4 linked regions of the Saccharomyces cerevisiae S288C genome follow. Changing the gene in region 1 together with any one later gene gives a genetic interaction. Each region holds a gene or a part of one and is shown in the gene's direction. Other genes may lie near its edges.

Region 1 (4,568 bases):
GTATGGTGTTCGCATACTTTTATGTGTTCTTCTTTGTTCCAGAGACAAAGGGCTTAACATTAGAAGAAGTCAACGAAATGTATGAAGAAAATGTGCTACCTTGGAAGTCTACCAAATGGATCCCACCATCTAGGAGAACAACAGATTATGACCTAGACGCTACTAGAAATGATCCGAGACCATTTTATAAAAGGATGTTCACTAAAGAAAAATAATCTCTTGTAGTGTAGGATCAACTATTTTCGCATACTTGCAATGTTCAGCATTGCACCATTTCAAATTTTAATATTAATATTAATCGTTTTCGTTCATATGTTCATTCATAGTTTACAAATAATGCAATCATATGCAGAGATATTTTGTCCGTGGTTAATAGGGCTGCCTGTTATTCCTTTAATTCAACTAAATTACGTATGTCTAATAATATCAAAATCATCATGACGTTTTTGTTTTTTTTCTTTATTTTAAGTAGGATCAAACCAGGGGAGAAAGGGTTGCTACGCCTAACAACAAGAACTTGTATATCGTTTCTTGTTACTTATACTTTTCTGCCCACTTCTCTCTTACAACTGCTCGAGCTCATCCTTGGTAATAAAACAGTGAGGACGGTTACTCGAGGTTTCAACAGGGGAAAATAAATTTATATGATGAATCAAGAGCCCCGTTCTTTTACCGTATTATCCTTCATACTACATACTAGGGAAAGAACTGAAAACTCCGCTACCTGCTGTAACAGCGCATAATAAAAAGCAAGAATATAGACAGTTACTGTTGTTTACGTTCTTTGATGACATCATTCTCATCAGACATACAGAAACACATCCTTTTTGTCTACCCCGTATTTATTCCAACTTCAAAGTATAGGTACCGTCCGGTTATACTCTCATATACTTTGTGGCAGTTTGCTTCTTTAAACCTTGTTAACCCAGAATATTTTCAGTGCAAAAAGCTTCCGATCCTCAAATACAGTGAGAGAAAAAGCAAACTTGTCTTCATTATTTTTCTGTTTGGCCCTGTCACGGTTCTTTTTATGGCCTTCTCGAAGGATATCCGTAGTCAATTATATTCACGTAGTTGCCAAAAGTAATTTTTGGAAAACTATTATTCCTCCGAGAAAACCTCACACAGAAATCCTTGCAGGTCTCATCTGGAATATAATTCCCCCCTCCTGAAGCAAATTTTTCCTTTGAGCCGGAATTTTTGATATTCCGAGTTCTTTTTTTCCATTCGCGGAGGTTATTCCATTCCTAAACGAGTGGCCACAATGAAACTTCAATTCATATCGACCGACTATTTTTCTCCGAACCAAAAAAATAGCAGGGCGAGATTGGAGCTGCGGAAAAAAGAGGAAAAAATTTTTTCGTAGTTTTCTTGTGCAAATTAGGGTGTAAGGTTTCTAGGGCTTATTGGTTCAAGCAGAAGAGACAACAATTGTAGGTCCTAAATTCAAGGCGGATGTAAGGAGTATTGGTTTCGAAAGTTTTTCCGAAGCGGCATGGCAGGGACTACTTGCGCATGCGCTCGGATTATCTTCATTTTTGCTTGCAAAAACGTAGAATCATGGTAAATTACATGAAGAATTCTCTTTTTTTTTTTTTTTTTTTTTTTTTTACCTCTAAAGAGTGTTGACCAACTGAAAAAACCCTTCTTCAAGAGAGTTAAACTAAGACTAACCATCATAACTTCCAAGGAATTAATCGATATCTTGCACTCCTGATTTTTCTTCAAAGAGACAGCGCAAAGGATTATGACACTGTTGCATTGAGTCAAAAGTTTTTCCGAAGTGACCCAGTGCTCTTTTTTTTTTTCCGTGAAGGACTGACAAATATGCGCACAAGATCCAATACGTAATGGAAATTCGGAAAAACTAGGAAGAAATGCTGCAGGGCATTGCCGTGCCGATCTTTTGTCTTTCAGATATATGAGAAAAAGAATATTCATCAAGTGCTGATAGAAGAATACCACTCATATGACGTGGGCAGAAGACAGCAAACGTAAACATGAGCTGCTGCGACATTTGATGGCTTTTATCCGACAAGCCAGGAAACTCCACCATTATCTAATGTAGCAAAATATTTCTTAACACCCGAAGTTGCGTGTCCCCCTCACGTTTTTAATCATTTGAATTAGTATATTGAAATTATATATAAAGGCAACAATGTCCCCATAATCAATTCCATCTGGGGTCTCATGTTCTTTCCCCACCTTAAAATCTATAAAGATATCATAATCGTCAACTAGTTGATATACGTAAAATCATGAATTCAACTCCCGATCTAATATCTCCTCAGAAATCCAATTCATCCAACTCATATGAATTGGAATCTGGTCGTTCAAAGGCCATGAATACTCCAGAAGGTAAAAATGAAAGTTTTCACGACAACTTAAGTGAAAGTCAAGTGCAACCCGCCGTTGCCCCTCCAAACACCGGAAAAGGTGTCTACGTAACGGTTTCTATCTGTTGTGTTATGGTTGCTTTCGGTGGTTTCATATTTGGATGGGATACTGGTACCATTTCTGGTTTTGTTGCTCAAACTGATTTTCTAAGAAGATTTGGTATGAAGCACCACGACGGTAGTCATTACTTGTCCAAGGTGAGAACTGGTTTAATTGTCTCTATTTTTAACATTGGTTGTGCCATTGGTGGTATCGTCTTAGCCAAGCTAGGTGATATGTATGGTCGTAGAATCGGTTTGATTGTCGTTGTAGTAATCTACACTATCGGTATCATTATTCAAATAGCCTCGATCAACAAGTGGTACCAATATTTCATTGGTAGAATTATCTCTGGTTTAGGTGTCGGTGGTATCACAGTTTTATCTCCCATGCTAATATCTGAGGTCGCCCCCAGTGAAATGAGAGGCACCTTGGTTTCATGTTACCAAGTCATGATTACTTTAGGTATTTTCTTAGGTTACTGTACCAATTTTGGTACCAAGAATTACTCAAACTCTGTCCAATGGAGAGTTCCATTAGGTTTGTGTTTCGCCTGGGCCTTATTTATGATTGGTGGTATGATGTTTGTTCCTGAATCTCCACGTTATTTGGTTGAAGCTGGCAGAATCGACGAAGCCAGGGCTTCTTTAGCTAAAGTTAACAAATGCCCACCTGACCATCCATACATTCAATATGAGTTGGAAACTATCGAAGCCAGTGTCGAAGAAATGAGAGCCGCTGGTACTGCATCTTGGGGCGAATTATTCACTGGTAAACCAGCCATGTTTCAACGTACTATGATGGGTATCATGATTCAATCTCTACAACAATTAACTGGTGATAACTATTTCTTCTACTACGGTACCATTGTTTTCCAGGCTGTCGGTTTAAGTGACTCTTTTGAAACTTCTATTGTCTTTGGTGTCGTCAACTTCTTCTCCACTTGTTGTTCTCTGTACACCGTTGACCGTTTTGGCCGTCGTAACTGTTTGATGTGGGGTGCTGTCGGTATGGTCTGCTGTTATGTTGTCTATGCCTCTGTTGGTGTTACCAGATTATGGCCAAACGGTCAAGATCAACCATCTTCAAAGGGTGCTGGTAACTGTATGATTGTTTTCGCATGTTTCTACATTTTCTGTTTCGCTACTACCTGGGCCCCAATTGCTTACGTTGTTATTTCAGAATGTTTCCCATTAAGAGTCAAATCCAAGTGTATGTCTATTGCCAGTGCTGCTAACTGGATCTGGGGTTTCTTGATTAGTTTCTTCACCCCATTTATTACTGGTGCCATCAACTTCTACTACGGTTACGTTTTCATGGGCTGTATGGTTTTCGCTTACTTTTACGTCTTTTTCTTCGTTCCAGAAACTAAAGGTTTATCATTAGAAGAAGTTAATGATATGTACGCCGAAGGTGTTCTACCATGGAAATCAGCTTCCTGGGTTCCAGTATCCAAGAGAGGCGCTGACTACAACGCTGATGACCTAATGCATGATGACCAACCATTTTACAAGAGTTTGTTTAGCAGGAAATAAACTAAACAAGCTCAATATGCATATTTTAATGACTTATACAGTATTTAATTTCTCAGTAAATTTTATAAAGGTGATATTATATTGGTGTTAAAACAAAATTCTTGTCAAATTCATAAACAGATGTTCTTTTCTTTGCTAGTTCTTGACCTTCACCAAGGAACAAGAAATTTCATTCTGGCACTCTTCCGAGGAAAAATTTTATATGATATAGTATGGGTTAATACCACATAGGCGCTATACATAGTTCAAACGCCCGCTTATGATTTCGGAAAAATGTCAAATGAATAGAAATTGACAACGCTGCTGCTTCAACATCTAGTAGTGTTACTTAAGCCTGTTAGGATGTTGTTTTTAGGTATTTATAATTACTAGCAATAATTTCCATTAACAGATAACCGAGTCGATCTCAATGGATATACAGTTGCCAATCATATGTATTTTCTGACTGGCACAGGGAGACACGAAAAACACTTGCTTGATAAGAGGTGAAGCAGTAAAGAAAAGACGACAAGTAAAAAAAAAATGACGAGAAAATGCACGCTACCATCGAAAAGGCGACCTTTCCAATCCACTAAGAGTTACTTTAAAATCGTTGAA
Region 2 (3,566 bases), on another chromosome or scaffold:
AACGACTAACAGTTCCAGTACGTTTAGTCTGGTCACTTCAAGTGACAACAATTGGTGGATTCCAACTGAGTTAATCACGCAGGCACCAGAAGCTGCATCCACTGCATCTTCTACCGTTGGAGGAACACAAACTATGACTTTGCCCCATGCAATTGCAGCCGCGACACAAGTTCCCGAGCCTGAGGGCTACACCCTAATCACAATAGGGTTCAAAAAAGCTTTGAACTACGAATTTGTTGTATCAGAACCAAAATCATCGGCTCAAATCTTCGGATACTTGCCTGAAGCTCTGAACACACCTTTTAAGAACGTATTCACAAACATTACGGTACTACAAATAGTGCCATTACAGGATGACTCACTCAACTACTTAGTAAGTGTTGCTGAAGTATACTTTCCAACTGCAGAAATAGAGGAGCTGTCAAATCTAATTACCAACTCTTCAAGCGCTTTTTACACGGATGGAATGGGTACAGCAAAATCTATGGCTGCAATGGTTGATTCCTCAATACCGCTAACGGGCCTCTTACACGATAGTAACAGCAACTCTGGCGGATCTTCGGACGGATCCTCCTCCAGTAATTCGAACTCAGGATCTTCAGGTTCAGGATCTAATTCGAACTCCGGTGTGTCTTCATCTTCCGGAAATTCCTATCAAGATGCCGGTACTTTGGAATATTCATCCAAATCTAACTCCAACGTATCCACTTCTAGCAAATCAAAGAAAAAAATCATTGGTTTAGTTATCGGCGTTGTTGTTGGTGGATGCTTATATATTTTATTCATGATTTTTGCTTTCAAGTATATCATAAGAAGGCGGATTCAAAGTCAAGAAATTATCAAGAACCCAGAAATTTCCAGTATCAGTTCAAGTGAATTTGGTGGAGAGAAAAATTACAATAATGAAAAGAGAATGAGCGTTCAAGAATCCATAACACAATCTATGCGAATTCAAAATTGGATGGATGATAGTTACTATGGTCACGGGTTGACAAATAATGACTCAACTCCAACCAGGCACAATACATCGAGTTCCATACCAAAAATTTCAAGACCAATTGCTAGCCAAAACTCCCTGGGTTGGAACGAAGTTTGATAGCAATGTCTGCAGAGACTTTCTCCGCTTGCATAACCTTATAAACTTATAACGATACCTACTTATTTCATATCTTATGTATAGTTCTCCTTCAAGGAGACGTTGTTTTAATACTTTTATCTATTCCATTTATCATTATCTACTTTGTAATCAAAGATCGAAGCACTGCTGTGTGCGTTGATTTGGGCCTGACACGAGAAGAAAGTGCGTTACGTACATCAAGATTTTATTCAAAATCCAGCGTCTCCTCCGCAAAAAAGTTCAGAATACATTTGAATGAGTCCTCTGGATTCTCCAACAGTAAATTATGCCCAGTATTAAATTCTCGGACATCAGCACAGGGAAAGTTATACCTCAGGAGGGAATAATCATTGTTAATAAAGTTAGACTGCAGGCCTTTCATGAATAAAACTTTACGACTGGCTGTGCCTTTTTGGAAGAAGTCCCTTTGGTTCGATAGATCCGGCCATTTTTTCACTTCATCCAACAGGTTCGGCATGCTGGAGAGAGGCATTGAGTAATTTATATAAGGATCATGCTGTTGTTGTTCATAGTGTAACTGTGCTTGGTGTACATTATTGGATTTTACAGAAAGAAAACCGTTGGCAAAGTAGAGTGCCACAGCTCCACCACATTTCCTCTTATTACATTCCAAACTTTTGAAAAGCTCAAGAACTTTTTTCTGCCAGCTGGGGGAACCTCTTAAAATCTTGACATCTCTGCGGATAATCCGCATTATTAAGTCATAGTTTTGTAATATCATGGGATCTAATTCTGGGGTTTCATAAGGCGGTAAATCAATTGATATACACTTTCGTATATTAATATTCTTGTACAATGTGGTTAATAATGCAATTTTACCACCCATAGAGAATCCCAGTAAATAAATAGGTCTCTCCAAGCCAATATGAGTTTCAATAAAATAAATCAAATCATTGGTCAGTGTAGTGTAGTCATAAGGTATTGCTTTTGGTGAAATGCCATGATTTCTTACATCAACAGAAAAAATATCCGCGTCAAGCTTCCTTGAAAGAAGCTTATTGAGAGAATGAAACATCACGTGTGAGCCCAAAAGGCCATGGATGTTAATAATTGCAGGTCTTTGCTCGAATTTTATTAGCGATGAAACATCTGAGGGTAAACGCGTTCTATGGAATGATAAATCGACAATTATTTTATAAGGTAGCGCTTTATTATGCGCTAGTCTCGACATTTGTAAGCCCTCTTCCCACGGTTCCTTTTATTTTGCAGTTTGTATACGTCTCGACCTTGGCATGAGACAAAAACAGTTTCCCCAAAAGACGCGCTGTGGTATTCAGTAAAGGCTGGTTTCTATGATAGGTTGAGTTTAGAATAATTTTTAAACAGGATACTAAGATAAAGCAAATATTTCAATCATGTCCAGATTAAGAAGATTCAATAGAAAGATCTTAAGCTTGAGTTCTGACTACACTCATGACGGTGAATCTGATCAAGAAGATGTATCCATATTACCATTAGATACAGAAGAGCAGGAAGAACTCATACAAAAATTTGAGACTAATGCTCACATCACAAATAAGCTGTACATAAACCTGTTAAGCATATTGTATTTGCTATATGGCGGACTGCTAATGATACTCGTAAGAAAATCGCGAGGGTATATTAAGTTAGCACTTCTTGCTGGCGCTAATTCTTTGATCTGTTCGTGCATCACACTTAGATATGATATTGTAAACGACTATCTTTTGTTCAAAAAGTTTAAGTTAAGAGTGAGCAATTTTTCTATTAACATAATAAACATTATTTTACTAGTACTTATGGCTTGGATAAGTTTCAATCATGTGGTCGAAGATAAAAAAACGGTGCTCTGTTTGCAAGTTCCAATGTTTTTATTCTGGGTCGCTGTGCTTGTGAAAAGATGGGCTCGAAATATCGAAGATGAAATCGCAGATCTAAGATGCTTGAAATACAAATACAAAAATGCTTAGTTCTATATCGCGACGTATTGTAATATTCATTGGTTAGTATATTCCGGAATATTTATTACTAATATTACAAATTGATTGGTTGGCAGCTCCTTATTTGTGAACAAGGCCAAAAAGTACTGCTACGAGCTTATTCAAGCATACATATATATAGCTTTAATTCCAAAATCATCGTCACAGGAATCTGCTTTAAAATCCAGTAAAAGACTAACCTAGTCAAAGGGGACATAGAATAGCTTACAAGAGGATTCAGTTTGGAGCTAACACTTTCTTCGGAACTTTCCAGCTTCGTACAAAAGTGCAGATACGTTAAAAGATCAGTTTATCCGTATGTTTTGAAAAGGCTATCTAGTGCAGAAGTCTCTAATTTCAATATAATAGCTTGCTAAATAGTCTTCGAGGCGTTGCATATCTATCAAGAAAACAACATGACCAATGTACCTAGAATTATAATTAAGTAGATGATGCCAATGAGGTGAGCGAGCAAAACCATGTCAATTGGA
Region 3 (4,404 bases), on another chromosome or scaffold:
CAAACTATCATTTTTTTTTTTTCATCCTTGTGCCGCGTCTGTAGCCGAAAATCTGAGAGTGCATGAATCTTAAAAAACAGAAGACTCATCGCCGTCTTTGGCACATTGGGGTTGTCTTTGACTTCTTTTGCTTATTTTTGCTCACTTTGCTTATTTTACCTATTTAACTAGAGGTTCTAAAAGAATAGCCAACCAGCGTGTAGTTCTTATTTCTAATCCTTGTCTTGTTAAGTTGAAACTTGTGATATTGGCTGAACAAATTCTCCGCATTTAGACAACACACAAATTACAGCTTTCCCCTAGTAACGATTGTTGATTGAGCTCAGACAATACGCGCAATTTAAAAACGTTTTATAGTGTAAGAGAAGACAAGTACAAGAAAAAAATGGTTGCCAATTGGGTACTTGCTCTTACGAGGCAGTTTGACCCCTTCATGTTTATGATGGTCATGGGTGTCGGCATTTCATCGAATATTCTATATAGCTTCCCATATCCTGCAAGGTGGCTAAGAATATGCTCCTACATCATGTTTGCTATCGCTTGCCTTATTTTCATTGCTGTGCAGGCACTACAAATATTACATTTGATTGTCTATATTAAGGAGAAAAGCTTCAGAGAATATTTTAATGACTTTTTCAGAAATATGAAGCACAATTTATTTTGGGGTACTTATCCCATGGGGTTAGTTACAATTATAAATTTCTTAGGAGCACTCTCGAAAGCGAACACGACGAAGAGCCCCACTAATGCCAGAAATTTGATGATATTTGTTTACGTCTTGTGGTGGTATGATCTCGCAGTCTGTCTAGTAATAGCGTGGGGTATCTCGTTTCTCATCTGGCATGACTATTACCCTTTGGAAGGGATTGGGAATTATCCTTCATATAATATCAAAATGGCATCCGAAAACATGAAAAGTGTATTGCTACTGGATATCATTCCGCTGGTTGTCGTCGCTTCAAGTTGTGGAACATTCACAATGTCAGAAATATTCTTCCATGCGTTTAATAGAAACATTCAACTGATAACGTTGGTCATATGTGCCTTAACGTGGCTGCATGCCATTATCTTCGTCTTCATACTGATTGCGATATACTTCTGGAGTCTTTATATTAATAAGATACCACCAATGACACAGGTTTTCACCTTATTCCTGCTTTTGGGCCCGATGGGCCAAGGAAGTTTTGGAGTCTTATTGCTTACAGATAATATAAAAAAATATGCGGGCAAATATTACCCAACAGATAACATTACAAGAGAACAAGAGATATTGACTATTGCAGTTCCATGGTGTTTCAAAATTCTAGGCATGGTTTCTGCTATGGCATTGCTCGCTATGGGCTATTTTTTCACCGTGATTTCTGTCGTTTCAATCCTGTCGTACTACAATAAAAAAGAGATTGAAAACGAGACAGGAAAAGTGAAGAGAGTTTATACCTTCCACAAAGGTTTTTGGGGGATGACTTTCCCGATGGGTACTATGTCTTTAGGAAACGAAGAGTTATATGTGCAGTATAACCAGTACGTTCCCTTATATGCATTTAGAGTCCTAGGAACCATATACGGCGGTGTTTGCGTTTGTTGGTCAATTCTATGCCTTTTATGCACATTGCATGAGTATTCTAAAAAGATGCTGCATGCTGCCCGTAAATCTTCATTATTTTCAGAGTCAGGTACGGAAAAGACGACAGTTTCTCCGTATAACAGCATTGAAAGCGTGGAAGAATCAAACTCGGCTCTAGATTTTACGCGTTTAGCATAAAATTGTTGGTTTTATACGTACATAATTGGCAAGCATTTCATGTAGGAGTCTCAATAGATAGTTTAATTCATTTGCACGGCGCTTTGCTGCTTTTGCTTCTTCACGTTGGTTTTCACTATGCCTGATATTTTTTGACGTCACTTAGTAAGCACGACCCTTGTCAATTTTTCGAGGATTTCGGAGCTTTCCATTTGGAATCTACTATTAAAATCAGTCTAAAAAAGTATAAGAAACACTTCTGGTTTTTCTCATGCGCTTCTCACTCTCAGTATATTTTGCTGCTTTCCTTCATATGTATATATATCTATTTACATATTAGTTTACAGAACTTTATGCTTTCTGCAACCAAACAAACATTTAGAAGTCTACAGATAAGAACTATGTCCACGAACACCAAGCATTACGATTACCTCGTCATCGGGGGTGGCTCAGGGGGTGTTGCTTCCGCAAGAAGAGCTGCATCTTATGGTGCGAAGACATTACTAGTTGAAGCTAAGGCTCTTGGTGGTACCTGTGTTAACGTGGGTTGTGTTCCGAAGAAAGTCATGTGGTATGCTTCTGACCTCGCTACTAGAGTATCCCATGCAAATGAATATGGATTATATCAGAATCTTCCATTAGATAAAGAGCATTTGACTTTTAATTGGCCAGAATTTAAGCAGAAAAGGGATGCTTATGTCCATAGGTTGAACGGTATATACCAGAAGAATTTAGAAAAAGAAAAAGTGGATGTTGTATTTGGATGGGCTAGATTCAATAAGGACGGTAATGTTGAAGTTCAGAAAAGGGATAATACTACTGAAGTTTACTCCGCTAACCATATTTTAGTTGCGACCGGTGGAAAGGCTATTTTCCCCGAAAACATTCCAGGTTTCGAATTAGGTACTGATTCTGATGGGTTCTTTAGATTGGAAGAACAACCTAAGAAAGTTGTTGTTGTTGGCGCTGGTTATATTGGTATTGAGCTAGCAGGTGTGTTCCATGGGCTGGGATCCGAAACGCACTTGGTAATTAGAGGTGAAACTGTCTTGAGAAAATTTGATGAATGCATCCAGAACACTATTACTGACCATTACGTAAAGGAAGGCATCAACGTTCATAAACTATCCAAAATTGTTAAGGTGGAGAAAAATGTAGAAACTGACAAACTGAAAATACATATGAATGACTCAAAGTCCATCGATGACGTTGACGAATTAATTTGGACAATTGGACGTAAATCCCATCTAGGTATGGGTTCAGAAAATGTAGGTATAAAGCTGAACTCTCATGACCAAATAATTGCTGATGAATATCAGAACACCAATGTTCCAAACATTTATTCTCTAGGTGACGTTGTTGGAAAAGTTGAATTGACACCTGTCGCTATTGCAGCGGGCAGAAAGCTGTCTAATAGACTGTTTGGTCCAGAGAAATTCCGTAATGACAAACTAGATTACGAGAACGTCCCCAGCGTAATTTTCTCACATCCTGAAGCCGGTTCCATTGGTATTTCTGAGAAGGAAGCCATTGAAAAGTACGGTAAGGAGAATATAAAGGTCTACAATTCCAAATTTACCGCCATGTACTATGCTATGTTGAGTGAGAAATCACCCACAAGATATAAAATTGTTTGTGCGGGACCAAATGAAAAGGTTGTCGGTCTGCACATTGTTGGTGATTCCTCTGCAGAAATCTTGCAAGGGTTCGGTGTTGCTATAAAGATGGGTGCCACTAAGGCTGATTTCGATAATTGTGTTGCTATTCATCCGACTAGCGCAGAAGAATTGGTTACTATGAGATGAAGCAACGAAACTAGACGTCCAATCTGCTGTTGCTATACTGGACTTTTGTACTCTTGTAAACAATCTTATATAGCATCCTGAAATACGTAGTAATTTTGTCATTTCTGTTCAAGGACAAGGGTTCCTTTTTTTTTCAGACTATTAGCTACTGTGGACTCGCTTGGATATTCAGTTGAGGATACATTCCGACTCTCGTTTACAATACATATGATTATTTTTCTTTTTGTTAATTATATAAAAAATAAAGTTATTTGATTTTAAGCTTAAAAATACACAAAATACAGAATAAGAAAGGAGTTTTTGAACAAAAGAATTTATCTTTTACTGCTTTCTAACTTTAAGCCTTCAAAGAAGAAGCTCTTCTCTTTCTGATTTCAGCCTTCTCAGCCTTTCTTTCAGACAATCTCTTAGCCAACAATTGAGCGTATTCGGCAGCAGCTTCTCTTTGAGCTTGAGCGTTTCTGACCTTCAAAGCTCTTTGGTGTCTCTTTCTTTGCAATCTTTGAGGAGTAACCAATCTTTGGATCTTTGGAGCCTTGGTGTAAGTCTTTTCACCCTTGGTGACTTCTCTTCTGATGACGAAATCACGAACGTCATCTTCCTTGGACAAACCGAAGAACTTTCTGATGTTGTTAGCTCTCTTTGGACCCAATCTCTTTGGAACAGTAGTGTCAGTTAGACCTTCCAATTCTTGCTCACCCTTCTTGACAATGACCAAAGCCAAGACAGCCAAATCTGGACCAACAATGGCACCTCTGACGGACTTTCTCTTTCTTTCACCATCACGTCTTGGTCTGTAACAAGAAACGTTCTTGGTCAACAACAACTTGATTCTAGTTGGCAACAAAACACCTTGCT
Region 4 (2,956 bases), on another chromosome or scaffold:
ATGGTTACGCTCGTATCAAGGGTATGTCTTGTATCATCACCACCTTCGGTGTCGGTGAATTGTCTGCTTTGAACGGTATTGCCGGTTCTTACGCTGAACACGTCGGTGTTTTGCACGTTGTTGGTGTCCCATCCATCTCTGCTCAAGCTAAGCAATTGTTGTTGCACCACACCTTGGGTAACGGTGACTTCACTGTTTTCCACAGAATGTCTGCCAACATTTCTGAAACCACTGCTATGATCACTGACATTGCTACCGCCCCAGCTGAAATTGACAGATGTATCAGAACCACTTACGTCACCCAAAGACCAGTCTACTTAGGTTTGCCAGCTAACTTGGTCGACTTGAACGTCCCAGCTAAGTTGTTGCAAACTCCAATTGACATGTCTTTGAAGCCAAACGATGCTGAATCCGAAAAGGAAGTCATTGACACCATCTTGGCTTTGGTCAAGGATGCTAAGAACCCAGTTATCTTGGCTGATGCTTGTTGTTCCAGACACGACGTCAAGGCTGAAACTAAGAAGTTGATTGACTTGACTCAATTCCCAGCTTTCGTCACCCCAATGGGTAAGGGTTCCATTGACGAACAACACCCAAGATACGGTGGTGTTTACGTCGGTACCTTGTCCAAGCCAGAAGTTAAGGAAGCCGTTGAATCTGCTGACTTGATTTTGTCTGTCGGTGCTTTGTTGTCTGATTTCAACACCGGTTCTTTCTCTTACTCTTACAAGACCAAGAACATTGTCGAATTCCACTCCGACCACATGAAGATCAGAAACGCCACTTTCCCAGGTGTCCAAATGAAATTCGTTTTGCAAAAGTTGTTGACCACTATTGCTGACGCCGCTAAGGGTTACAAGCCAGTTGCTGTCCCAGCTAGAACTCCAGCTAACGCTGCTGTCCCAGCTTCTACCCCATTGAAGCAAGAATGGATGTGGAACCAATTGGGTAACTTCTTGCAAGAAGGTGATGTTGTCATTGCTGAAACCGGTACCTCCGCTTTCGGTATCAACCAAACCACTTTCCCAAACAACACCTACGGTATCTCTCAAGTCTTATGGGGTTCCATTGGTTTCACCACTGGTGCTACCTTGGGTGCTGCTTTCGCTGCTGAAGAAATTGATCCAAAGAAGAGAGTTATCTTATTCATTGGTGACGGTTCTTTGCAATTGACTGTTCAAGAAATCTCCACCATGATCAGATGGGGCTTGAAGCCATACTTGTTCGTCTTGAACAACGATGGTTACACCATTGAAAAGTTGATTCACGGTCCAAAGGCTCAATACAACGAAATTCAAGGTTGGGACCACCTATCCTTGTTGCCAACTTTCGGTGCTAAGGACTATGAAACCCACAGAGTCGCTACCACCGGTGAATGGGACAAGTTGACCCAAGACAAGTCTTTCAACGACAACTCTAAGATCAGAATGATTGAAATCATGTTGCCAGTCTTCGATGCTCCACAAAACTTGGTTGAACAAGCTAAGTTGACTGCTGCTACCAACGCTAAGCAATAAGCGATTTAATCTCTAATTATTAGTTAAAGTTTTATAAGCATTTTTATGTAACGAAAAATAAATTGGTTCATATTATTACTGCACTGTCACTTACCATGGAAAGACCAGACAAGAAGTTGCCGACAGTCTGTTGAATTGGCCTGGTTAGGCTTAAGTCTGGGTCCGCTTCTTTACAAATTTGGAGAATTTCTCTTAAACGATATGTATATTCTTTTCGTTGGAAAAGATGTCTTCCAAAAAAAAAACCGATGAATTAGTGGAACCAAGGAAAAAAAAAGAGGTATCCTTGATTAAGGAACACTGTTTAAACAGTGTGGTTTCCAAAACCCTGAAACTGCATTAGTGTAATAGAAGACTAGACACCTCGATACAAATAATGGTTACTCAATTCAAAACTGCCAGCGAATTCGACTCTGCAATTGCTCAAGACAAGCTAGTTGTCGTAGATTTCTACGCCACTTGGTGCGGTCCATGTAAAATGATTGCTCCAATGATTGAAAAATTCTCTGAACAATACCCACAAGCTGATTTCTATAAATTGGATGTCGATGAATTGGGTGATGTTGCACAAAAGAATGAAGTTTCCGCTATGCCAACTTTGCTTCTATTCAAGAACGGTAAGGAAGTTGCAAAGGTTGTTGGTGCCAACCCAGCGGCTATTAAGCAAGCCATTGCTGCTAATGCTTAAACTCACCCAATGACCGATATATTGTGTTTCTATACTGTGTTTGTTATATATAGTTTACCTTTTTTAGACAAAAAAACAGAATTATATATTATCCTTATGTTTTGTTATTTACTCGGAAGCACACAATTGCCCACCACACAAAGGAGGTGGAGGAAACAATTAATTTTTCACACAAGAGGTATATATTTGGAGAAAAATGAAGAATGAGATACTTTTCTTCCGATTACTTAAGTATTACGGCTCTGAAATTTTCTCGAGCATTAGATGATTAAATCAAAATGACATAGTATTTCGCAACCTTTCAGTTGGGCTTTGTTTAAGAAGTGGAATACTTTTGCTTGAGTTGTTTAGTTTTATTTTATCCACTGTTGTCTTAACAAATATTTTCAAGACCGGTAAGCCGAAGATGAAAAATCATTATTAACTCATTTTTTGAACAAAAATATAAACAAAAGAAAGGCAACGCACAATTTTAGAGATACATAAAACGCAGTGGATGTTAAAAATAACAGCGGTACAGAAACGCCTGTCTCGCTCCAATAATAATTATACAAATTTGAAACCGAACGCAATGTGCCAAGAAATGTAAACACACTATAGAAAAAAATAGAACGGTGCACATTGTGCTAGCATATCTGCTTGGTTCTGAACAAGAAGCACCTGGCCACTTTCTCCTAGCCCAATTCTTGCCAAGTTTTCAACCTCAATCTTTTGTGTTTGAACAAGCATGTATGAGGGGTCAAAATTTAGT

What was found.
Region 2: mutations in HXT1 (region 1) and YGR016W together harm fitness more than expected from each alone (negative genetic interaction), as found in Saccharomyces cerevisiae (one large-scale study listed by BioGRID).
Region 3: mutations in HXT1 (region 1) and GLR1 together harm fitness less than expected from each alone (positive genetic interaction), as found in Saccharomyces cerevisiae (one large-scale study listed by BioGRID).
Region 4: mutations in HXT1 (region 1) and TRX1 together harm fitness more than expected from each alone (negative genetic interaction), as found in Saccharomyces cerevisiae (one large-scale study listed by BioGRID).

Annotation. Positions count from the first base shown.
Region 1 is NC_001140.6:290,316-294,883, reverse strand, and holds HXT1 (hexose transporter HXT1), read left to right. Parts: upstream 1-2,258; coding exon 2,259-3,971; downstream 3,972-4,568. Other genes in the region: hexose transporter HXT5, read left to right, coding at 1-215. UniProt on the Saccharomyces cerevisiae protein: Low-affinity glucose transporter. HXT1 is as well involved in the transport of mannose.
Region 2 is NC_001139.9:519,768-523,333, forward strand, and holds YGR016W (uncharacterized protein), read left to right. Parts: upstream 1-2,493; coding exon 2,494-3,066; downstream 3,067-3,566. Other genes in the region: MSB2 (Msb2p), read left to right, coding at 1-1,096; EAT1 (putative hydrolase), read right to left, coding at 1,323-2,309; YGR016C-A (uncharacterized protein), read right to left, coding at 3,479-3,566.
Region 3 is NC_001148.4:373,408-377,811, forward strand, and holds GLR1 (glutathione-disulfide reductase GLR1), read left to right. Parts: upstream 1-2,094; coding exon 2,095-3,546; downstream 3,547-4,404. Other genes in the region: SSU1 (Ssu1p), read left to right, coding at 386-1,762; 40S ribosomal protein eS6 RPS6A, read right to left, coding at 3,884-4,404. UniProt on the Saccharomyces cerevisiae protein: Catalyzes the reduction of glutathione disulfide (GSSG) to reduced glutathione (GSH). Constitutes the major mechanism to maintain a high GSH:GSSG ratio in the cytosol.
Region 4 is NC_001144.5:230,951-233,906, reverse strand, and holds TRX1 (thioredoxin TRX1), read left to right. Parts: upstream 1-1,893; coding exon 1,894-2,205; downstream 2,206-2,956. Other genes in the region: PDC1 (indolepyruvate decarboxylase 1), read left to right, coding at 1-1,517. UniProt on the Saccharomyces cerevisiae protein: Participates as a hydrogen donor in redox reactions through the reversible oxidation of its active center dithiol to a disulfide, accompanied by the transfer of 2 electrons and 2 protons.